Ovis aries: one gene and its partners. The protein of the gene in region 4 interacts with the protein of the main gene of each other region in a biochemical or structural test. Links are inferred from orthologs where the notes say so. Each region holds a gene or a part of one and is shown on either strand. Other genes may lie near its edges.

Region 1 (4,011 bases), on a different chromosome or scaffold from region 4:
TACCGTAACATCCAGCACAGACAGCCAGGCTCCCTGGCTGCCTCCCTCTGTGCTTCCCTGACACAGTGTCAGAGGGTTGGGACGTTGGCAGAGAGTACCCGACTCCCACACCAGTAATGCCCCCTTCCTCTTGACGCAGCCCTCCCAGCCAGTCCCCTCTGTGTCACAGCAGTGGCCTCACCAGGGCAGTTTCTTCGGTTCTGAGATGTATGTAAGAAGAGAAATCTAGGAGACCTTTTCTGTGACTTTCTGTCAGTTCAGAAAGTCTGGTATTTGTTACTGTGGGGCATGTAAACTCAGTGGCAAGATTTCAAAAGGGCTTATGATTTTCAAAGAGCTTTCTCTTGCGTTCAGTTTAGAGCAGTGATCAGTCCATCCAGGTGGTCTTTGCCACAACAAATCCAGGTATAAATACATTTGGAACATTTTTGATCCTTCCAGTGAATGAAACGAGCTTCCCAGGTGGCATTAGTGGTAAAGAACCCACCTTAAAAAAAAAAAAAGAGCCCGCCTGCCAGGAGACCTAAGAGACGTGGGTTCGATCCCTGGGTCAGGAAGAAACGGCAACTCACTCCACTATTCTTGCTTGGAGAATCCCATGAATAGAGGAGCAGCCTGGAGGGCTACAGTCCATGGGGTCACAAAGAGTCACACACGGCTGAAGCAACTTAGCACACATGCAGTGATTGAAACACACAAGTCGCTTGTGTATATTGGCCCAATTATATGGCCTTTTGATGTCCGGGGGTGGCTGCCGATCCCATGCAGGCCCGAACACATTGAGTGATGTGTGCAGGGTTCCGACGGGCATTTCTAGTGTGACTCCTATGTCCCACAGAGGATGTGAGAGTTAAGGGTTTTTTTCCCTTAAGTGATATTGTGACTGACTTTCTTCTTTCAAATTACAGACTAAATGACGGCAATGAGTACCTCTTCCAAGCCAAAGATGATGTAAGTTTTGAAGATTCTTTTTTTTTTTTTTTTTTTCAAATACAAGTTTACAAGTGTTTGTGGCCTGATGAGCATTATATATGGTGCTCTTCACATAAGTGATGATCAGCGGTGGCATCTGTCCTCTGGTCTCCACAGTCACAGACGCTGGAAGGTTTTCTGTTCTCCTGTGTCTGTCAGGGGCAGTAAATGTCATCTCATTGTTCTCCTACCCTGGCAGGAAAGCTAGCGCAGGGTCTCTTGAAGTTTGTGGAAGAGAACTGTGGGTGACGCACAGGGAGGTGGTCTCCAAACTGGGGTGGAGCCCACAGCCCAGCTAGGAGCCTCCCCTCTGTGCCCACTGCACTGTACCTCTTGTAACCAACCATCGCTTGGCTGTATGGTCAGCCGATGAGAAAACATGCGTAGCGCGTTAAATTCAAACAAAGCAACTTCTGTTAAGTTTACACAGTGTGGTATATCAAATAGATTTCTATTTCAAAAAAGAAAAAGCACTTTGTAGGGTAGGACCTGACCCCCGTGCTATAGGCCAGTCTTCCAGCTCGTCACATTTGTAGGACCATATACTACAGTGGAGACCTTCAGGTACTGTCAACTGAATTCAGGCGTTTGTTAGAGAGCCACTGTCCCTTCTCAGGCAGACATGCTATTCCTAAGTTTTCCAACCCACAGCAGCTCAGACGGTCACCCAGGCGGAGTGAGAGTATCTCATGTCCATCCAACTTAGATGAGTCTCACCTGTGTTCCCCCTCCTTTTTCCAGGAGGAAATGAACACATGGATCCAGGCCATCTCCTCTGCCATCTCCTCTGATAAACACGAGGTGTCCGCCAGCACCCAGAGCACGCCAGCATCCAGCCGGGCTCAGACCCTGCCCACCAGCGTCGTCACCATCACCAGCGAGTCCAGTCCCGGCAAACGGGAGAAGGACAAAGAGAAAGACAAAGAAAAGAGGTTCAGCCTTTTTGGCAAAAAGAAGTGAACTCCTTTCTGTCACTTCCTGCCCTTCTCTTCTTACCTTTTCAGTGAAATTCCAGCATGCAAGCTCAGAACCAACACATTACTCTCTGTGCCTAAATGTTTCTCCATGTGGTTGATTTTTTTTCTTTTAATTTATAGAGCATTTCTCGGGGAGGGTGGGGAAAAATACAACCTAAACACTTTATCTCCAAGTTAACAAAAGTTTGAGGTGCAGAGGGAAGACCAGATTTTTTTTTTTTTTAACGAAATTATATAGATTAGATCTCAGTATTTAAACTGTTCCTCAATTTTGTGAGGCTGTGTTGGAAATAACCCGCCTCCAGTGCTGTTGGTATGCAAGGCAGCGGTGCTTAAACAATATTTCCTGTGCTCGCCACAGACCGTACCAATGTCCCAACACCATTCTCTCCCATTTACTCCCAGTGGTTTGACTATTAGAAGCGCCCATGATGGGTCTAACCTGGATTAAACAGATTGTGTGTGATGATCTCGCTGCAGCCACAGTGCAGCCCCACTGTTAACTCTACAGACCAAGCCACTTGTACCTGGCATCACTTACTAACACACGACATGCAGCTTTTCTGCATCAACCTGGACAGCAGTTAAGAATGTCGGGATACAAGAAGGAATAGAAAACTGATACTGTTTTAAATAATCTGTAATTTCAACTTTTTTTTTGCTGAAATACATTATATTGTATGTTTGAGATAATTCTAGTACAAAGTATAATAAAACTAGATGTATAATAAACCCTTTAAATCATTGGTAAGTGTACAAGTGGAACCGAGGCATTTACTGGACAAAGTCATGTTACCGTAATGGTTACTTGCTTGTGCGTTACCACACTGTGTTATAATTTGCTTCATTACCTTGCTCTTTGATACATAGTGTGCATTTCTCTGTCACTGTAACAATTATAATGACAAATTTTCATCTTACTGCACAATCAAAATGGCATTGATAGGAATGAACTCCAGAGGCTGGGCCTGACAAGGAGGTTGGTCACTCAGGCCCGGTGCTCAGTCGTATGACCTGTACCTCTCAACTTTTGCCCTATCTGTTAAATATATGCGATGTCATTAAATGCTTTTAAATCTAGCACGGTGGGTGACTGTTGTTTTTCCTCTCCTTGCGTGCACGCCATGTAGGGGATTTGCACAGTGCAAAATAGCAGACGGGAAACAGGAGACTGTCCATCTGGGTACCTGTTGCACATTCTTGTGTATGTCTGGTGTCCCAGCTTTGAAAAATCACAAGAAACAGAGCAATAAATATGGAATGTTTTGTAGCCATACATCCAGATTTTATCTTTTAATTATGAAAATGTTATCAGAAAGCTCACCAAACCTGAGCTCTGAGACTAGGGTTCAAAAACATTTTCAGTAAATAGAAGTAAGTAGGTATTTTAGGCTTTGTAGGCCATACTCTGTTGAAACTCCGCCACTGTGTATTACAGAGGCAGCCGTCAATGATACGTGAACCCATGGGCATGGCTGTGTTCCAGTAAAACCATGTGTGTGGACACAGAGTTTAATTTTATATCATTTTCATATGCCACACAATATTCTTTTCTGATTTTTTTTTTTAAATTTTAAATGTAAAATTTATTTTACACAGATTGTGCAAAACCATATCACAGGCCATGTGTGGCCCATAGACCAGTTCGCTGATGCCAGCAGTAGGGGTCATGGCTTAGATATGTGTGTCATACTTGTCCTAGTTGATTGATTCTGTACTGCTTGCATATTTTCTAATGTGCAGTAGCAATGAAGGTTAGTATTACAGACTTTCAGTAGTTTATTCCCCAGAGGATATGCTTAACCTGACCTCACAGCTGACTGACATCAGGGGTGTTACCCTTAGGTGGACTGAGATCTCACTGTTTACTACCCACTCCCTTCCCCCACCCCGTCAATCCCCATGCCCCTGTGTACCCAGGGTTGTTTATCTCATCACAACGCTCCTTTACCCTTGCCTTACTCAGGATTGGAATCAAGTTGTTCATTTCTTAACAGGTAGACCTCTGACCAAAACGTTTAGTTTAGAAAAGGCATCTTGGAAAATAATCGTGATTGACTAC
Region 2 (4,302 bases), on a different chromosome or scaffold from region 4:
GAGTCAGACAGTACTGAAGTGACTTGTTACACATGAACGTCTATAACTGAGTCACTTTGCTGTACAGCAGAAAGGAACACAACGTTGTAAATCAACTGTACTACAACAAAATTAAATTTAAACCAAGAGCTGCAAAAGCAAAGACAAATGAGATAACCCTTGGTAATCCGAATAAAACACAGGCAGCACCTCCCTTTGGCCTTTTACGACATTTTCATCGTAAACATAACAAGAGGAGTGGAGGTAGCAGAAGAATCAGCAAACATTTCACATGGCTCTGTTTATACTAACAAGTACAGCAAGTGCCTCTAGAACATTCACTGTGTTTCGGGTGCCGTTCTAAGTGCTTATCCAAGGCCTCGATTTCCTTACTATTCCTTGTTCAGAAAAGCAACAGATAAAATGGTGGTAAACTCATGTATCCAGTGCCAGCCTCTGGTTCAAGGGATTTCCACAGTCTTGTGACATTGGCACTCTTAACAGCCTGGTGTTACAGATAAGAAAGCTCAGATAAGTTAAGTGAGTTGCCTGAGGTCACACAGTGGTAAGGCCCTCAAGCCAGGCCTTCCAAGCCCCTGCTCTTGTCTATGTGGATCCATATGCTCAGCCCTACAGATCAGCAGAGGTCAAGTGTCCTTCCTCCCGCCCTCATCAAGAGTCACGCCAGAGGATACAGGATCAACCTCATATTCAGGAGGTATAATTTTTACTTCCCCAAACAAGTGGTTAAAGTTTATGGCCCTGGCAGTTCCAGAGGGAATGGCCCATGATCATGAATAATAGAAGCTTTGTCTCTACAACTCCAAATATCCAGCGGCAAAGTGAACAATTCCGACTTCATACTTGTTCCAGATCTCCAGATGGTTAGCAGCATGAATAAAGCAAGGGCAGTAGAGCTGAGACTTTGGGTCATAAAAGCCTACATTTGAATGTTGCCTCTGTCCCTCTTACTGGCTGTGTGACCTCAAGCCAGTTACTAAACCTCCCTGAGCCTCAGTTTCCATTGCTGTATAATGGGAATAACAGCTGCTTTGTGAGATTATTGTAAAGATTACGTGAAATTACATGTAAAGTGCCTGACATTCAGGAAGTGTCCAATAAACGCACATTTCCCCTCACTCCTGCTCTACTTGTAGTTGTGAGGGTTTGCACCTTTGCTTTTGTTTAAGCAGCATCTGACTTCTTGATGTGTGGCAGTGATCGTGTTCCAGGAAAGAGGAAGCATTGCTTCAGGCTGGGGCGGGGATAAGGCAATGCCCTGACCCAGCAACAAGATCAAGGTCATGCTCATCTATAGCAGACCTTCTGCATTTGAGTAATGTTATTAAGAAATCTTAAATAGTGAACGACTTCCCTTATATAGTTAAACTTCCCGTATCTAAGGTTACATGGCAATGAACCAAGCATAAGGGAAAAATCAGTGTGGCCTTATATCTTCCCTGGTGGCTCAGATGGTAAAGAATCTGGCTGCAATGCAGGGTTCAGTCCCTGGGTTGGGAAGATCCCTTGGAGAAGGGAATGGCAACCCATTCCGGCATTCTTGCCTGGAGAATTCCATGGACAGAGGAGCCTGCTGGGCTAGAGTCCATGGAGTCGTAAAGAGTCAGACACGACTGAGCAACTAACACTATACTTCTAGCAAAGCGGTGCCTCATTCTTCTTCGTATTTGCAATAATAACCCTGACAACGCCAACAAAGTGTTGACTGGGAGAGGAAGTAAAGGGACTTTCTTGAATACACAAATCAGAATGATTTACAGTCATCCCGTTGATGGTTTATCTAAGCCTGCAGAAACAGCCAGAGTTTAACAGAGGCAAACATTTCCCTTACATGATTTGATGGAAGGAGAGTTAGAACTTGGGAGTCAGACACACCAGGGTTTGAATCCCAGTTCTCTTAGTACTTGTTCAATAACCTGGGGCAAGTGATGGAATTTTCCGAGCCCAAGATTTCTTTAGCTGTAATGGGGGATACAGTGAGCACTGGCTTCCCATAGCTGTGACCACTGATTCTCAGACTCACTTCAGGTAGCCCGTGAGGGTTTGCTAAGTCCCAGACTCTGGTCCCCGTTCCTCGAGTTTTCTGATTCGGGATGTCTGAGGTAGGCCTGAGAATTTGCATTTCTAACAAGTTTACAAGTGATGCTTTGGCTACTGGGTCAAGGACTTTGCTGTGAAAAGTGCTGATTGTTAAAAGTCAGTAGGATGAAATATACTCAGATTATCATAAACCATAGTGATGGTGGTATTAACTGTGACGATGATGACAAAACCATTGTACCCATTTCTCTTATAATTTTTTTTTCAATTCTTAGGTGTGGGCAGAAGAAAAAACTGGTGATCAACAATGGGAATGGAACCATGGAGGAGAGAAAGCCTAGCGGACTCAACGGAGAAGCTAGCAAGTCTCAGGAGATGGTGCATTTGGTGAACAAGGGGTCGTCAGAGACCCCAGACCAGTTTGTGACGGCAGATGAGACACGGAACCTGCAGAATGTGGATATGAAGATTGGGGTGTAACACCTACTCTGTGACCTTGGAAATAAACCACCATTGGAGACACAACCATTACAGGGAGCTGGGACACTTCACAGATGCAGTGTGCTACTGATTGTTTCATTGGGGATCTTTTTTTTTAGCATAAAATTTTCTATTCCTTTTTTGGGAGTTTTTTGTGTTTTATTTTTAAAAGTCAGATCCAGTTGATAAAAACCTCATTGCTTTCTGAAATGAGGGCCCAGTTAATAATCAGCAAGAATTGGACTGTTCTAGTCTATGGGGTCGCACAGAGTCGGACACGACTGAAGCGACTTAGCAGCAGCAGCAGCAGTCCCCACCGAGAAGTGTCTCACCTCCCTGAGGTGTGTGATGGGCAGCTTCTAACAAAAGCCATGCGTCCATCTTCCTGACCCTCAACCTTCCCCTTCACCCCACCCACCAGGGAACAGCCACCTGCTAAGGACATCCCCAGGGCTAGGAGGGATTGGCCCCTGGAAGGAAATTTGAATGGGTCCATGTTGCCCTTCCAGCAGCCCAATCCCTGGGCATTTCTTTCTAGTGGGGTTAGGGGTGGGGGTGTACTGGTTACACATCCCCTTCTACAGACTCCCTGGAAAATTTTCAGATGCTTCTGGGAAATACCCAAACGGTGAAGCTATTTATCTAGAGTAAGCTATTTATCTGTGTTTTTGAAAAATGAAACCCTGGAGGTCCTTTGATCAGTGATTTTTTTTTTTTTTTTTTTTGGTTGCCTACCTGGTCAGAGGCATAAAAGGGTTTCTGCTGATTCATAATAAACACCTGTACTTCTTCCACCTTAACCCTTTGTGCTGTGGTCTTTCAGTTTCCTAATCAGCAAAGCCTGGGTCCCAACAGCTCATCAGGAAGAGGCGAGGAGGTCCTCCTTGCAAGTCTTCATCTCAGAGCCATGAAGCCCCCACTCAGGCTCGCTCACCCGAATCTCATAGAGGACCAGGGGAGACAGTATTGTTTTACTTCTGAGGTTCCAAAGGTATTCTATCCTGTCCTACAACCAAAACTGTGAGAGGAGGAGCTTCAGCTGCTTTTATGTACTAATGGCCGCCTATTCTTTCCCCTGAAAGGCGGTGAAAAGTCATGTTACATGTGCATGACCTACCATTTGTGATGTTCCATGGTGTTGTCCAAAAACAACACGGAAGTGCCTTCTAACCTTTTGTAATAAAAGGAGAAGCCAGTAGAAATGAAGGCGCACAGACAGTGGCCAACAGACGGGCACAAGCAGGGAAAGGGGAGCAGGGAGCAGCGCAGATCCTGTCGGAGGATTTTTATGGCCGTGTTTGTACATGGTTTTTCAAGCCAGTGGTCTCCATCCAAAGCAGTTGCTATTCAGGGTTAACTTAAGTGGCTGGAGAATCCCTCACAAGGTTACAGGGCTTCCCACCTTGGATTCACCACCAGATCAGCAGTTATATGGCCAAATAAGAGAATAATGGCTTTATCTCCTGCTGGGCAAGTCTTTAGCAGTCTTTGTATAGAAGTTCAGGAGACTGTTGGTCCTAAAACTTCCAAAGGCTGCTGGTTATAGAAGAAATGGAATCTATGAAAATAAGGGGTTCCATAAACTGGGACCTCCTTCCTTAGGCCCCCAGAAAAAATAATTTTCCTACACTGATTACAACTGACAATGTTTCCCAGCCCAAATATGAAGAAGGAGGAGGAGAAGGGAAAAAAACTGTCCCATGTGAATCAGGGCTGGGCTTACACCCAGAATGGATTCTGAAGAGTATATCAGTATTTAAAGGAGAGTTGCCAGCTTTCTGC
Region 3 (4,890 bases), on a different chromosome or scaffold from region 4:
ACTGCAGGTGGATTATTAACCATCTGAGCCATCAGGGAAGCCCAAGAATACTAGAGCGGGTAGCCTAACCCTTCTCCAGTGATCTTCCCAACCCAGGAATTGAATGAGGTCTCCTGCATTGCAGGTGGATTATTTACAAGCTGAGCTACCAGGGAAGCTGGCGATGTGTAATATATCCTTATAGCTTATTTTATACCTAATAGTTTGTGCCTCTTACTCCCCTCCCCCTATGTTGCTCCTCCCTCTTTCCCTCTCCCCACTGGTTATCACTAGTTTGTTCTCTGTATCTCTGAGTCTGCTTCTTTTTTGTTATATTCACTAGTTTGATGTATTTTTTTGATTCCTCATATAAGTGATATCATTCAGTATTTTTTTTCTGACTTATTTCACTTTTCATAATACCCTCCAGGTCCATCCATGTTGTTGCAAATGGCAGAATTTCATTCTCTTTATGCCTGAGCAGTATTCCATCTTCTTTATTCATTTATCTGTTGATGGACACTTAGGTTGCTTCCATATCTTGGCTATCGTACACAATGCTGTTATGAACACTGGGGTGCATGCATCTTCTTGAATGTTTTGTTTTTTCAGATACACATCCAGGAATGGAACTGCTGAGTCATATGATAGTTCTATTTTTAGTTTTTTGGGAAACCTCCATACTGTTTTCCATAGTGGCTACATCAATTTACCTTCCCTTCCTACTGGCAGTGTATAAGGGTTCCTTTTATTCCGCATCCTCATGGAAGGCAGCCCCTTTACTCAAGTTGTTCAGAGTACTATTTCAAGACATTGTACCAATCCTTTCCCAATACCATTTGTAGATACTGCCCCCACTAAAAGGGCAAGTTGTACATCTGTCAACAGGAAAAGGAGACACAGAAGGGCATATCCATCGGTTTGGTCTGTGGTGGGAGGTGAGGGGAGAGAGAGGATGGTGGTGGGTTTCCAGGTTGATTCTATCTACTTATTCCCCTCATGAGCCTCAGGCCTTCTTATTTTTCCCAGCACCAGCTGACATCTACCTTATTCCCCTCATTTGTCCTCTTCTAACCCACCTGTGCCTCTAACCCACTGCAGTGTTGGGTCAGCTTTCACTTCTCCCAGCACTCAAGCTGTCCCAGTTGCACTTGGTTGAGGCATCTTTCCCAATATTGGAGAACAAAACAACCCAGACTCTTCTGCTCCACCTCCCTGCCACCCATCTTCCCCCTCATTAAAAAAAAAAAAATCACTATCCTCTAGAAAAGAGAGTCTGTAGAAGATCTGGGTTCACCCTTTATTTACTATATCAAAGATGGGGCCAGGGCCACCACAAATAAGAGTTTAGGGAGCATTGTCAACTGTTAAACCTAATCAGCCGAACTGGACCAGTCTGCTTATAGTGTGTGAGTACCAATGTGATGGGACAGGGGCAGGTATGAGAGAAGAGGGAAAATTTTAAATTGGGGGCAAAGCCAGTAAGAAACATTTCTCACTCAACAACCCCCATCCATCCAGACTTGGGAACATTAGGCGCGGTAAAGGCATTTTTTTTGTTCCGTAAAAATACTTAGCTGATAATAAGCCCTCCTCTCCTTTAGGACTCAGATCTGGTGTTTACACAGTGTTAGCTTCATTCAGGCCCCTGAAATTTCCACTGTTGGGTGTCTCCTGAGGACAGAGTTACTGAACAATACCAGGCAACCTCCCTTCCCTCCTCCACCTTCATCCTCACATCCCTGAGCAGTCTGCATTGTCTGGGAGATCAAACCAAAGGAGCTCCACAATGACAGAAGTTGCAAAGAGGCTGCCAAAGGCAGAACCCTATTCACCACCAGCCACAGGAAGCTAAGAGCTAAGGTTCCTAGCTTAGGGCACTCAAGACCTAAAGTCCCAGCTGCAAAAGACTCAGGAGGGGCCCAGGGAAGAATGTGAACTTGGGACATACACTTCTTTTGCTACTTCCTTAGCCTCGGGCTGTCACATGTCACCCATCTGTGGTGTGCTAAACCCCTCCTGCTCCCCACACACACCAGAGGAGAGCAGATGTTTCATTTGAGCTAAGGGAAGGACCAACACAAGAAGGGGGGAAAGTAAAGGGCATTGAAAAAGTTACAATGAAAACTACCACTTGGAAAAGTACTCTAGGCCCTTTCCACAACAAGGCAGGTCAGGATCTAACTTCAATGATGAGATTTTTCTGGGAACTATGGATTTATAGTTAAGATTCAAATTCAGTACTTTGTATTTGGAAAAATGCAATCAAAAGGAAAAGTCTTTATGCTGGCAGGTACTTCTCCAAAAGAGCCCTCTCCAGTGTTCTTGACCTTCTGAAGCAGTTTCCCTGCCTTTTGTAATTCTCAAACACTCAGTTAAGCTTTCTTGGGGGCTATGGTTTCTGTGAAATGTTACTTCTAGAGAGGCAGAAGGTTTTTCTAAAGTTTGCTCCATCTAACCTTCAGATATAAGAATCCTGAAGACCCGCCCATATGTCATACAGGGACCCACAAGTGGACACTTTTATATCAATATTAAACAAATAAGATTTCAAAAAGACTCAAATAGCCCCATACGGAGGTCTCACCTTTTGCAGTCTCGCCACCTTCTCATAGCATCCTTCTAACTCCTGCCGCAAGTTCCGGTTCTCATCTGAGAGAATCTCAACCATCTGCTGGGCTCTGGAAACAATGGCAAAAGGGTCGGCTGGCATTGGCTGATATGAAGCAGACGACTGCTGAGCTCGTGGCATAGCGGAATAGCCTTCTCCTGGCTGCTGCTGCTGCTGGTGATGGTGGTGATGGTGTGACTGTGGCTGCTGTTGACTCAGGCCAGGCTGGGGGAGACGGTAATGATCCCCCTGGTGAGCCTGGTTAGGAAGGAAATGCTGCTGTGGCCTAGGCAGGTGAGCCGAGTGGTCTCCTTGGCTGGGGACCAAGGGGTGTTGGGCAGGAGACAATCTAGTAGATGGTGGAGACTGCAGCAAGGGCAAGGAACCCCCAGATGTGAGGGAAGAAGTAGGGCTGTGAGGCTGAGAGTTCCGGGCTGACAAAGGCAATGAGATGTCCTGTGTTGGCCTGGAAAACACGGAGGGTGTACTCAGGTTAAACTCCCACTTGAAGGCACAAGAAAGGGAGATGTGGAGGCTTCTGGGCCCCCAGAACAGGTGCAAAATGAGGAGCAGGCAGGGTTGGACTACAAGGTCTCTCCCAAGACCTCTCCAGTCCCTTCCACACCTGGCCTCCTCTCAATACCTGACCCACAGAGGTGTGATCCTATGGAGGACAGATCAGATGATCTCAAAGGTTGCTTTGTGAAAATCAAAGTAATGCATCCTTATACACTTGTTTCTCAAGTCTAAGCATTTCAAATGCGCCTTTGACAACGTAATTGTCACCTCATGATTTTAAACTAAGCTTTTTCTGGCATCCTGTATATGGCCCTGCACACAGAAAGAGTCACAGAAAGTTCGTTCCACTTGCCCAGAAGGAAAGAGCAAACCGTCATCAAATCTACCCCTCATCTTGTTATCTGCAACTCTCTTTGATAATTCATATAGTCAGAAAAAACTACCTGAGGATATACAGGTACTTACTATATTAGAGACACCAAATAATTATTGTTGATGAGAGTTGTTAATAACTGAATGATGTTTTTTAGCAGCAATAATTCCAAGAGTTGGAAGGGATTATAAGTAACACTATCATACAATTTTGATGTACTGAATCACAAAATGTAACGACTGGAAAGGCCTTAAATAAATTATGTAGTCCAAGTCTGTCAGTGGACAGAGGGGGAAACTGAGGTCCAGAGAGGAGAAGTATTCTGCCAAATATTATAGAATGAGTTAGAAGCAGTGCCAGGGTAGAAGAAGCTAAATGCCATTTTCAGGTTCTTTCCACTACTATTAAATAAAATGCACTGATTTGTAGTGATGTTCAGATTCCCAATCTATTACTTATAGAAAGTTCCAGAAAGAGAACTTTGGCACATGGTTTAATGTGACTTTTCCATTTTGGTACCTAATACTGGACTATGAGCCATTAATGGAAACAGTGTATGCAAATTGATTATTTCCACCATTGCCACAACCAGGAAGAATATGTCAGTATACACCAAACACACACACAAAATGTTCACCTCCCTGCCCCTGCCCAGTTAACCTAATATACTCCCACATCCAGTGGATGCCTGTCCTACAGTTGTTATTTCTCAATCCAGGGAAGACAGATGGCTAAGAGCACAGGATTTGGATCCCAACAGAGTTTGGAGACCTTTCCTACTGCTTACTAGCTGTGTAACCTTGCTCAAGTTACTTCATCTGCATGAGCCTATTTTGCTCCCGAGGTCACAAAAGAATTACTAAAATATTGGGCTCTTCTCAGTGTTGAATTACAAACAGTCACATATCTACCTCCCAATGAGAATGGTTGACCCTGTTAGTGATTTTACTTATGGGATATCCACTTAATCTTTGCACTACATTGCATAAAATTTGTGGCGAAACTGGGACAAATCATCAGGAGCAATTAACTTTTAACTGGCATTCCTGATGCTAAAGCACATTCCCTCCCACACATAACTCCAGTTATCATTACTGTTTATTTATCTATCACTACAAGAGATCCTTACTATGACGGATTTTTACCACTACAAAACCATTCCAAACACTTGCTCACACATACCCAATAACCCAGATGTTCACCAGAGCCCTCAAACCTATTCAAGTTGAAGGTTGTTGCTCAGCCCCATCAGTGGCTCTGGTGTACCCACATTCTTCCAATTTCATGTATCTGTCACTATAAATAATTGCTGAATACTGAAGTGGGCAAACTACTTGTGGACAGAAGAATTTACATGGTTTTCATGATGACGACTGGAAAGTTGCTACCCTACATAACCCTTATGTCT
Region 4 (5,332 bases):
AAGACCAGCAGCCTTTGGTGGGACAGGGTTGAGTTTGAGTCCCAGCTTTGCCTCTTGATGAAAGCGAAAGTGGAGAGTGAAAAAGTTGGTCTAAAGCTCAACATTCAAAAAACGAAGATCATGGCATCCGGTCCCATCACTTCATGGAAAATAGATGGGGAAACAGTGGAAACAGTGTCAGACTTTATTTTTGGGGGCTCCAAAATCACTGCAGATGGTGATTGCAGCCATGAAATTAAAAGACGCTTGCTCCTTAGAAGAAAAGTTATGACCAACCTAGATAGTATATTCAAAAGCAGAGACATTACTTTGCCAACTAAGGTCCGTCTAGTCAAGGCTATGGTTTTTCCAGTGGTCATGTATGGATGTGAGAGTTGGACTGTGAAGAAGGATGAGAGCCGAAGAATTGATGTGTTTGAACTGTGGTGTTGGAAAAGACTCTTGAGAGTCCGTTGGACTGCAAGGAGATCCAACCAGTCCATTCAGAAGGAGATCAGCCCTGGGACTTCTTTGGAAGGAATGATGCTAAAGCTGAAACTCCAATACTTTGGCCACCTCATGTGAAGAGTTGACTCATTGGAAAAGACTCTGATGCTGGGAGGGATTGGGGGCAGGAGGAGAAGGGGACGACAGAGGATGAGATGGCTGGATGGCATCACTGACTCGATGGACGGGAGTCTGAGTGAACTCCGGGAGTTGGTGAAGGACAGGGAGGCCTGGCGTGCTGCGATTCATGGGGTCGCAGAGAGTCGGACACGACTGAGCGACTGAACTGAACTGAACGGAACTGAACTGAATGTGTATATAATAGCCAGCAAGTAACTCTGTCAGGCTGACTTTCTGTTTCTTCACCTGTAGGGGGGGTGATGCTAACGGCTAACATTTGTGGAATGTGTTTCGTTCAGCCATTCAGGTATTCAACCATTAAGTCTCATTTAAAATTGAACATTTTTTTAAATAAACGAAACTGTATTCCCCCATCTCTCTCTCTCACACACACATCCATATAATCCTTGATGACAGTAAAACATATGTTTATGATCCAAAACTGGAAATCACAGAGTAAAAAATGAAAAATGCTTTCTTCTTTCCTTTTGTTTGGCTACGCCCCAGCAGCCTGCAGGATATTAGTTCCCTGACCAGGTACTGAACTCCCACAGTGAAAGCCCATAATCCTAACCACTAGACAGCCAGGGAATTCCCCCAGAATACTTTCATTGGGGGAGGGGGGGGAAGTATCTACAAAAAAGAGCAATTTCATAGGATTCGACCTAAAATGACCAGCCACGTTCTAAAGCTTTATACGCCTCAACAATCCCGTGGGGTAGGTACAATTATTATCCACCTACCTCCATGGGGTCTCAAAGACTCCGACAGGACTTAGCGACTGAACAACGACTTAGAGACTGATAACCCTCGGTAATAATTAGAATTTCTCCCTAAAAAGAAGCAGAAGGATTCCGGGGGGTGGGGGGTGGGGGGTGGGGGGTGGAGGGCGGTAAGTGCTGCCTACCTAAACGGCCTCCACAAGTGATTTGAGAGTTTGAGAAACACAGAGGTCAGCACACGTAACTAATTTTAAGTGCTCAACAGGCTTATCCACCCGGTGTCCAAAACACGATCCCCATGGGGCGCCACACCTGGCGCCGACTTGGTCCGAAGTGCAGTCCCTCACGGGAACAGGGGGTGACGCGTCTCCCGCGCCCGGGTACCAGCCTCTACGTGTTTCCCTGGGAAAGGGTCGGCGGGGCTCAGGCACCTCAACCAGTCTTGCTAGAGTAGGCGTACCTCTTAGAAAACAAAAGCGTTCGGAGTGACTGTCACCGTAGCCACTCAACGGCGAGCCCAGGCCCGCGCCTCCAGTCAGATCTGAACTTCCGATTGGTGAAGTGATGCCGAAGAGGGTGGGACACAGCGGGAAAGTCCCGTCTCCTTCGGAGCGCTCAGCCAACCGCGGCATCCGGGCGGCAGCAGCCGGGTTTGGTTGCGTCGTGTGTAGTGATTCTTGGGGGCCCGAGGGCGGGGCGGGGAGCAGGCCGGGGGCTGCGGGGAGGGGACGCTTCCCGCGGGCGCGCGGAGCGAGGACGGTGACAGCCACGCGCGCACGTGCGCGCCCGGCTGCAGCGCGGCCCTGAGACCTCCGTCGGCCGCTGAGAGGCGCGCGGGCTCTGGGCAGCCGCCGTCTAAGGGCCCCGTCCGCGGGCGTTCCCAGCGTCCCCGGCCCGAGTCCCGGAGAGCGGGGCCGTGCCCTCCCCGTCGGTCCCCGATCGCGATCCTTGCCCAGGGCCGTCAGGGTCCGCCCCCGGGACTCCCCTTTCCGTTCCTGGGCAGGGTCCTCGCGGCCCATGCCGGCCGCTGGGGGCCCGCGCCGCTCAGACAGCTCTCCGGCCGGCCGGCCGGCCACCATGGTGGCCCTGAGGCCTGTGCGCCTCCTCCAGGGAGGCTAAAAGGTCCCGAGCGCAGGCCTCGGGGCGCGAGGGTCCTGCGCCTGAGCCCCGCGCCATGGCCGGGGCCATCGCTTCCCGAATGAGCTTCAGCTCGCTCAAGAGGAAGCAGCCTAAGACATTCACCGTGCGGATCGTCACCATGGACGCGGAGATGGAGTTCAATTGCGAGGTAACTGGCCTGCAGCCCCGACGGGCTGCGGCGAAGGGCAGCCCTTTGGGATCTGGCCCTGGTTTGGGTCCGGCACCGACCCGGGCGCCCTTGCCGCGGTGACAGTCAAGGTGGAAGCTTCGGGATTCTGTTTATATCATCTCTGGGCAAAGATAGAGTCGGCCAGATCCGGAAGGGGCCATCTAGGCCCAAATCCTCACGTTAAAGATAATGACTGCTTTTTTTTCAATGGGGCTTTTGGGTTTGGAAGCACTTCCTGAAGGTTTTCATTCATTGTTACTGCAGAAGTCTGAAAGCATCAGTGGTAGCGAATTCTAGCTCTCAGTGTCACGCTTTAGCTCTGGCTCTTTAGAGTTTCAGCTTTATAAGATGATATAATCATAGGTGTTAAAAGTTGCATCTCGTTGGGAAAGTCTATATTGTTTCCCTTTTTCACAGCCTAACTTTTCTAGAGAAAAGTCTTTGAGGAAAGTGATGGTATCTTAAACTTTGCATATAGTTTCTGTCCTGTAACAGGTATCATTTATTGAATACTTAAGTGTCTGACATTCATTCACTCCAAACAACTCAGTTTAACCCCTCTGGAAATTGTCCTAAGGGCAAGCAAGCATCAAGTGAAAAAACATCTACTCAAGAAAATCTATGAAAATGCGGTAAGAAAGGCAAGAGTTTGTGGTATTTGTTTTTGTTTTGGCCGCAAGGCATGCCTTATCTTAGTTCCCCAACCGGGAATCCACGCCCCCTGCAGTGAAAGAGCAGAGTCTTAACCATTGGACCACAGGGAAAATCTCAGGAGTTTGCGGTATTAATATTTGAACCAAGACCACTGCCACCCTCCTGCTCTCAGCTCTGGACGGCTGCAACCCAGGATACTGGGCTCTCTCCCCTCCCTAGCTCCCAGTCCGACAGCTTTCTTCCCAGAAGGAGCATTACTTTAGGGCTTCTCCTGTCCAAGGCTGCTTGATACTGAGGCTCAGTCCTTTGTACTCTGGGCGTTGCTCACCAAGAATACTGGATTCCCAGTGGTTCTGTCCCCACCCTCAGTTTGTGAGATGGGTGGTACCAACCAAGAGAGACAAACTGAGAGGACTTCAAACTGGCACCCCCCCCCCCCACAACTTCTAAGAGATTTTGCCTGGAGGGAGAAGTAGGCTTAAAAACCCTTAGCTTCTAATCTCTTCCCAAAAGCATTTGCTTCATTTGCTGTAGTGAAAGTGAAGTTGCTCAGTCTGCGGCTCCATGGACTGTAGTCTACCAGGCTCCTCCGTCCATGGGACTTTCCAGGCAATAGTATTGGAGTGGGTTGCCATTTCCTTCTCCACGGGATCCTCCCGACCTAGGGATCGAACCTGGGTCTCCTGCATTGCAGACAGATTCTTTATTTACCCTCTGAGCCATCAGGGAAGTCCTATTTGCAGTAGAGACTGGAGAAATTTATGCCTAAGGGTGCTCTCCAGAACTGTGAAGGTTTTGGTGAAAGGCAACTGGAAGGAGATCTGTGGATTTAATGAAGATACTACTGTAGGCAGCTAGTTTGCAGGAGAGTAAGACAGCTGGGAAGAGCCCTCCTGGTCAGAAAAAAATGTCAGACACTGATCTCAGAAATGGTTCTTTCAGAAGAGCCACCTTTTGATTGGATTACTTTGTAGAACAAGTTATGCTCTAGGGTATTGTTGGAAATAATAGAGCAATATATCACAATAGTGGAGTGTAACAGTTGGGTGTTTCCCTGGTGACTCAGATAGTAAAGAATCTGCTTGCAGTGAGGGAGACCTGGATTTGATCCCGGCATTGGGAAGATATCCTAGAGAAGGGAATGGCTACCCAGTCCAGTATTCTTGCCTGGAGAATCCCATGGACAGAGGACCCTGGCGGTCCTAGGGGTCATAAAGAGTGGGACATGACTAAGCCACCAACACTTTCACTTTCAACAGCTGGGTGTGATCAGGGAAAGGGAGGAAGAGTGTCCTACTAAGACCATTGTCATCTCGGGTGACTTTCAGTTCAGTTCAGTTCAGTCGCTCAGTCGTGTCCGATTCTTTGTGACCCCGTGAATCGCAGCACACCAGGCCTCCCTGTCCATCATCAACTCTCGGAGTTTACCCAAACTCATGTCCATTGAGTCGGTGATGCCATCCAGCCATCTCATCCTCTGTTGTCCCCTTCTCCTCCTGCACTCAATCCCTCCCAGCATCAGGGTCTTTTCCAATGAGTCAACTCTTCGCACGAGGTGGCCAAAGTATTGGAGTTTCAGCTTCACCATCAGTCCTTCCAATGAACACCCAGGACTGATCTCCTTTAGATTGGACTGGTTGGATTTCCTTGCAGTCAAGGGACTCTCAAGAGTCTTCTCCAACACCACAGTTCAAAAGCATCAATTCTTCAGTGCTCAGCTTTCTTCACAGTCCAACTCTCACATCCATACATGACCACTGGAAAAACCATAGCCTTGCCTAGAGGGACCTTTGTTGGCAAAGTACTGTCTCTGCCTTTCAATATGCTATCTAGGTTGGTCATAACTTTCCTTCCAAGGAGTAAGCGTCTTTTAATTTCATGGCTGCAGTCACCATCTGCAGTGATTTTGGAGCCCCAAAAAATAAAGTCTGACACTGTTTCCCCATCTATTTCCCATGAAGTGATGGGACCAGATGCCACGATCTTCGTTTTCTGAATGTTGAGCTTTAAGCCAACTTTTTCACTCTCCTCTTTCACTTTC
Region 5 (4,890 bases), on a different chromosome or scaffold from region 4:
CCATCCCCAGTCAGGTCCACAGCCAAGTAAGATGAGAGTATCTGGGGGGGTTAGGGACACCAGCTTGGGCCATGCCTGGGCATCTGCACCTCCCTGGCTGTGGGCAGAAAGATTAAAGCCAAGCCTTCCGTCTCCAAGTCTGGCTCCATTGTGGATTCACTCTTTGAACGCTCCTGGGATCCAAGGTGGGTCTTAGAGCCCTCCCTCTGCGCACGTGGGCCCTAAGCTCCCCATTTCCCTGCTGGTCATCCCTGTAGGGCAGCCCTAGTGAGCCAAGCACACAGGGGCCCCGGCGGGTCCTCCCACAGGACCCACGCATGGCCTAGCCACCCAGCGGCTACAGGCTCAAGGCCCTCTGGTTAAAGCCACCCCACTTCTGGCTCCGGGCTTGGGGTCCTAGGGAGCCCTAGACCATCCTCTCAGCCCGAGGCCACTCTGGGGACACGCATGGACAGAGCTGCAAAGGAACACACAGAGGCCAAGGTGGTTTGGAGAAACTAGTTGAATTTCGGGTAAGAATTTCCTTACAATTGTGTCTGGCTCAGGGCTGGGCAGGGGGTGGCCAAACCCTCCCCATGTTGCCTAGGTCTCTGGGGGGGTGGGGGGTGGGGCAGAAAAAAGTTGAAGGAAGGGTAAGGCCACTGCTACGTCCCGGATGCAACAACCTGGGAAATCATGTTAATCAAGAATTGAAAGTCCTTCTAAACTCTGTAGTACTGCACTTAAAAATCAAAAATAAGATGCCCAAGTCACAGCTCTGAGGATGGTGGCCCCAGTCCACTCCAGGATGTTGCTGTGGTCAGAATCCTTCCCTGGTAGATCCCAGACCTGGTCATCACTTGGGGTCAGGAGGGAAGGTGACCTCTCGCCCAGTCTTAGGATCTTTGCTCGATGGAGGTCCCAGTGACGTCCCAGGACAGTGGCAGGGGGACTGCAGGTGGGCTGAAGCACCCAGCGAGGAGGGGCACAGAGTCTGCTTTTTAACTGGGGCAGGACAGAAAAACAGTCACCTTGTCGGAGGTAAGGGAAGAGTATGGTTCTCTAGAAAGATCAGATTTGCCGAGAGAGGAGATGCTGGTGCTGATTTGTGTGCTGATCTGGGGGTAAGTGGGGGAGAGGGAGTTGGCTGGGTGTGGGACTGGGCTTTGCTGGTGCAGGGGGTGTGGCTCAGAGGTTGCTGAAGAGTTCGTTTTTCTTGCTCCAGTCCATCTGCGGGGCCCGTTTGCTGATGCGCTTCTGGTGGGCCCTCTCTTTGGCCACAGCCAGGGAGATGTTGAAGTCCAGGATGGGGTCAGAGGACGAGGAGGAGGTAGACGAGGGTGCTGTGGAGTCCTGTTTCTTGGGGCTGTCTTGGGAATTCAGCTGCAAAGAGGAGCAAGAGAGCGGGCCTCAGTGCCTCGGCGAAGTGCTCCCTTGAGGCCATGTGTGGGGAAGCCAGGTCACGAGAACAGAACGTGACTCAGCGTGTGACCTCCACGGCGGGCTGGTGTGCCAGGAGTGAGCGACGCCTGACTTGCTGTCACCCGGGGCCACCCCCCACCCACCCAGCCTTACCTCCTCGCTGGTGTCACTGGAGGCGGTTCTTGCCAGGGGTGGCACGGGGCTCTCGGAGGCCGTCTCGGCCAGGGCTTCAGGACTGTTCTCCTGGTACGGAGAGGAGGCATGTGGGTGGGCAGGCCTGAGCTACGAAGGGCATTCCCGGGGAAGACGGGGCCTCGGTCTGAGCCTTGCCATCCACCCCAGAGCCTGCCTGAGCCTGCCAGGGCCCCGCGGGGATTTACATTTTCACATTCTTCCAAGGATCAGAGGGCAGCCAGGTTCCACCATCCAGGGCAGTGGGACCATCCCTCATGGGACTAGCTGGGTGGCTCACACCGCCCCTGTCCTCCCAGGCAGCCTCTGGAGTTGACTCCTCCTTGGCACAGTGACCACAGAGGGGCCTCCTGGGGCGTGGGGGTGCCGGGAGACTGCTCGGTGTGGGGAACACCCGTGATGCCCCCTGAGTCTCCTACAGCCCACCTGACTTGTTTTCTTGGACTTGACCCCGGATTCTTGAAATCAACCCTCAAGCAGCCAAGAAGGGCTTCGAGGGAATAAGGTGGGGGAGAGTGAGAGACCCACAGGGAAAGTGACTGAAGGCTCAGGTGGTTCAGGGCCTTCTTGCTGCACAACCCCCCGACCCCGGCAGGAGACCCCAGGGAAAGGAAGCCTTAGAGCAGACCCCGAGGAGCCCTCTCACCCCATAGTCTGACCCTGAGGGCGCTGTCCCAGAGCCCAGGCCTTGGGCTGCAACTGGGCACTCCGCTTCTGCCTGGGTTCCTGTGGCCCCAGCTGGCACTGGGCTGCACCATCTCTCCCCCGGCCCCCACTGCCTCCTCTTCCCTTCGGCCTGGGTAGGAGGGGCTTTGTTCTCCCAACCCAGACTGGAAGTAGCAGGGCCTGGGCAGGCGGCGGGCAGACACTGCCGCTCTGTTCTTGGGGGGAAGAATGGCCTCCTGTGTGGTGGGGAGCTGGAGGCGGGGCCCATCACCCAGGATGGTGGCTGCGGAGGGCCTGGCCAGGCGGCCCCGTCCCCTCTGCCTCGGCCCCAAGCGGGGGCCCTTACACGGCCTGGGGCTCAGGAGACAGCTGCCAGGAGACACGAGGTTTCCACCTGAACCAGACCCTGTCCTCCTCCTAACCACGCCTCCTCCCCCACCTCCCGCAGCCCCAGGACTGAGCCCGAGAAGCATCAGGGCTCTGCCTTTACCTTCTCGATCTCCCCGTTGGTAATGGGCTCAGGCAAGGGACCTAGATGGGAAGAGGAGAGCGCAGGTGAGTCAGAAGCTGTGGACGGAGGGGGGCGCGGAAGGCGGGGGTCGTGGGTTTGGGTAGACCACTCGACCTTGTTCCCCAAGCTCAGTGTTTAAGTCTCTTGACTGCCCCCCACTATAGTACACCGGACATTCTGGCAACCCAGCAGCCTCAGACTAGCATTTAACAAAACAACTTGCCTTTACTACATCGCAAGGCTCTTTGATATTTCCTATTCAGATTGATTAAAAAGATGGGGGAGGGACGGCTGGGGAGCTGGAGATGGACATGTGCGCACTGCATATGTAAAGTGGAGAACTGACAGGAACTTCCTGCACAGCACAGGGCACTCTGCTCAGTGTTACGCGGCAGCCTGGACCGGAGGGGAGTTTGGGAGAGAATGGATACATGTATATGTATGGCTGAGCCCCTAAGCTGTTCACCTGAAACTGTTATAACATTGTTAATCGCCTACACTCCAATACAAAATAAAAAGTTGAAAAAAAAAAAAAAAGGAAGAAAGGTGCCTACTTAATTAATCCCAAGAACCACTGATGAGTAAGGAGCTGTTTGAAAAAAGCGCTGTTGTAGACAGGGTTGAAATTCCAGGCAGCTGCCTCCCAACCACCCGGGATGCTGGTTAGAAATACAGATCCCTGGGCTTTGACACCAAGGTGTTTATCTACGTGGGTCTGGGACAGGCCTAGGAATCAGTATTTTTCGAATGCTTCCTAGGTGATGGTTGTGTCAACAGAACTGGGACCACGCCCTGGTTATGATTATCACCTGCACCAGCTGCGAAAGAACCCCAACTCCTCCTGGCCAGTGTGGGGATGGAGGGGGCCCCAGGGCTCAGGGCAGAGTCCTGGGCGTGCCGTCCCCCAGCCAAGGGGGAACCTGGTGGCGACAGGTGGGGTCAGAGGGCAGGGACACGGCCTGGGGTCACCCTCCCAGGCCTTGCTCAGGGTAGACACCCCACCTGGCCGCAAAGGGGGCTATTCCCTCTCAGGTCAGCCTGGGTGGGTTTCTTCTGAACTCATAGCTTAAGGTCAGGGTACGTCTTTCTCCTTGCCCTGGACTGGGCAGGCACACCTCTCGTCCAGCCCTCCCACAGTGGCTGGGCAGGGGACACAGGGACCCTGACTCACCCTCCACTGCACCCGCTCACCTGTGAGCCGTGGGCTGCCCAGCTTTGGGCAGGAGGCAGTGGCTGGGGACGCGCAGACTTACATGCACTTGGGAGGGGGAACACCCTCTGATCAGAGGCTGCAGTCATGGAGGTTCCCAGGGCCCTTCCTCCCCAGCCAGGAAGAGAGAGGGTTGATGACTTGGGAGTCGGGGGAGAAGGGTGCTGGGGGAGTCAGGGGAAGGTAGAGGAGCAGCCAAGTGGAGTCCAGATTTCAGCTGTCTTCCCACACTGGGTCCTCCCTGGTGGCTCAGGGGTAGGAAATCTGCCTGCCAATGCAGGAGACCTGGGTTCCATCTCTGGGTCAGGAAGATCCCCTGGAGAAGGGCATGGTGACCCATGCCCTTGAACTCCACAGACAGACAAGCCTCGTGGGCTACAGACCACAGTCAGGTGGGACTGAGCGACTAGCACTTTCCCTTTCCCACACCACACTGCCAAGAGCAAGGCTGGGGGCTTCTCGGGGCCACAGCTTTCCCCCTAGTGAGGATGGGGATTATCAGACTTACCTGCTTTCCATGAACTTGGGAGACAAGGGCACAGTGGTACCCACCTCCCATGACTGGAGTCTGCTAGTGGCTTCCAGGATACCCCCAGGACCCACTGGGCCCCACCAAGCTGGCGATCTGAATTTGTGGCAAGACCTCTGTGTGGACCCCTGTGCTCCACATCTGACCCTCAAGGAAGCCCCACCCACTGCACAGTCCAAAGAGGTTCCACCTAGCGCCTCCCACCCCCTCGGGAGCTGTCTTCATCTTCCCAGGGAGAAGGTCCAGACCAGGGAGCAGAGCACGGCTCAGCTCCTCCTTGCCCTGGGCTGTGGCTGCCCCGTTTGGCTTGGGCCAGGGCGGGGGAGGTGCCAGGCTTGGCAGGGTGATGGAGTGGCAGGGAGGGCAGGGGCCCAGGGACCC

The links. The genes of interacting proteins can lie anywhere in the genome.
Region 1: the proteins of NF2 (region 4) and SPTBN1 form a complex in vitro, tested with the Homo sapiens proteins (2 studies listed by BioGRID and IntAct). The link is inferred for Ovis aries from reciprocal best matches to the Homo sapiens genes NF2 and SPTBN1.
Region 2: the proteins of NF2 (region 4) and CD44 form a complex in vitro, tested with the Homo sapiens proteins (2 studies listed by BioGRID, with this or other methods). The link is inferred for Ovis aries from reciprocal best matches to the Homo sapiens genes NF2 and CD44.
Region 3: the proteins of NF2 (region 4) and AMOT form a complex in vitro, tested with the Homo sapiens proteins (2 studies listed by BioGRID and IntAct). The link is inferred for Ovis aries from reciprocal best matches to the Homo sapiens genes NF2 and AMOT.
Region 5: the proteins of NF2 (region 4) and NHERF1 form a complex in vitro, tested with the Homo sapiens proteins (2 studies listed by BioGRID). The link is inferred for Ovis aries from reciprocal best matches to the Homo sapiens genes NF2 and NHERF1.

The regions. Positions count from the first base shown.
Region 1 is NC_056056.1:69,371,751-69,375,761, reverse strand, and holds the end of SPTBN1 (spectrin beta chain, non-erythrocytic 1), read left to right. Parts: intron 1-908; coding exon 909-951; intron 952-1,713; coding exon 1,714-1,932; 3' UTR 1,933-3,029; downstream 3,030-4,011. UniProt on the Homo sapiens protein: Fodrin, which seems to be involved in secretion, interacts with calmodulin in a calcium-dependent manner and is thus candidate for the calcium-dependent movement of the cytoskeleton at the membrane.
Region 2 is NC_056068.1:64,543,875-64,548,176, forward strand, and holds the end of CD44 (CD44 antigen), read left to right. Parts: intron 1-2,315; coding exon 2,316-2,520; 3' UTR 2,521-3,320; downstream 3,321-4,302. UniProt on the Homo sapiens protein: Cell-surface receptor that plays a role in cell-cell interactions, cell adhesion and migration, helping them to sense and respond to changes in the tissue microenvironment.
Region 3 is NC_056080.1:121,856,770-121,861,659, reverse strand, and holds part of AMOT (angiomotin), read right to left. Parts: intron 3,057-4,890; coding exon 2,567-3,056; intron 1-2,566.
Region 4 is NC_056070.1:68,770,698-68,776,029, forward strand, and holds the start of NF2 (merlin), read left to right. Parts: upstream 1-2,065; 5' UTR 2,066-2,502; coding exon 2,503-2,616; intron 2,617-5,332. UniProt on the Homo sapiens protein: Probable regulator of the Hippo/SWH (Sav/Wts/Hpo) signaling pathway, a signaling pathway that plays a pivotal role in tumor suppression by restricting proliferation and promoting apoptosis.
Region 5 is NC_056064.1:55,965,182-55,970,071, forward strand, and holds the end of NHERF1 (Na(+)/H(+) exchange regulatory cofactor NHE-RF1), read right to left. Parts: intron 2,791-4,890; coding exon 2,750-2,790; intron 1,645-2,749; coding exon 1,555-1,644; intron 1,363-1,554; coding exon 1,168-1,362; 3' UTR 485-1,167; downstream 1-484. UniProt on the Homo sapiens protein: Scaffold protein that connects plasma membrane proteins with members of the ezrin/moesin/radixin family and thereby helps to link them to the actin cytoskeleton and to regulate their surface expression. Necessary for recycling of internalized ADRB2.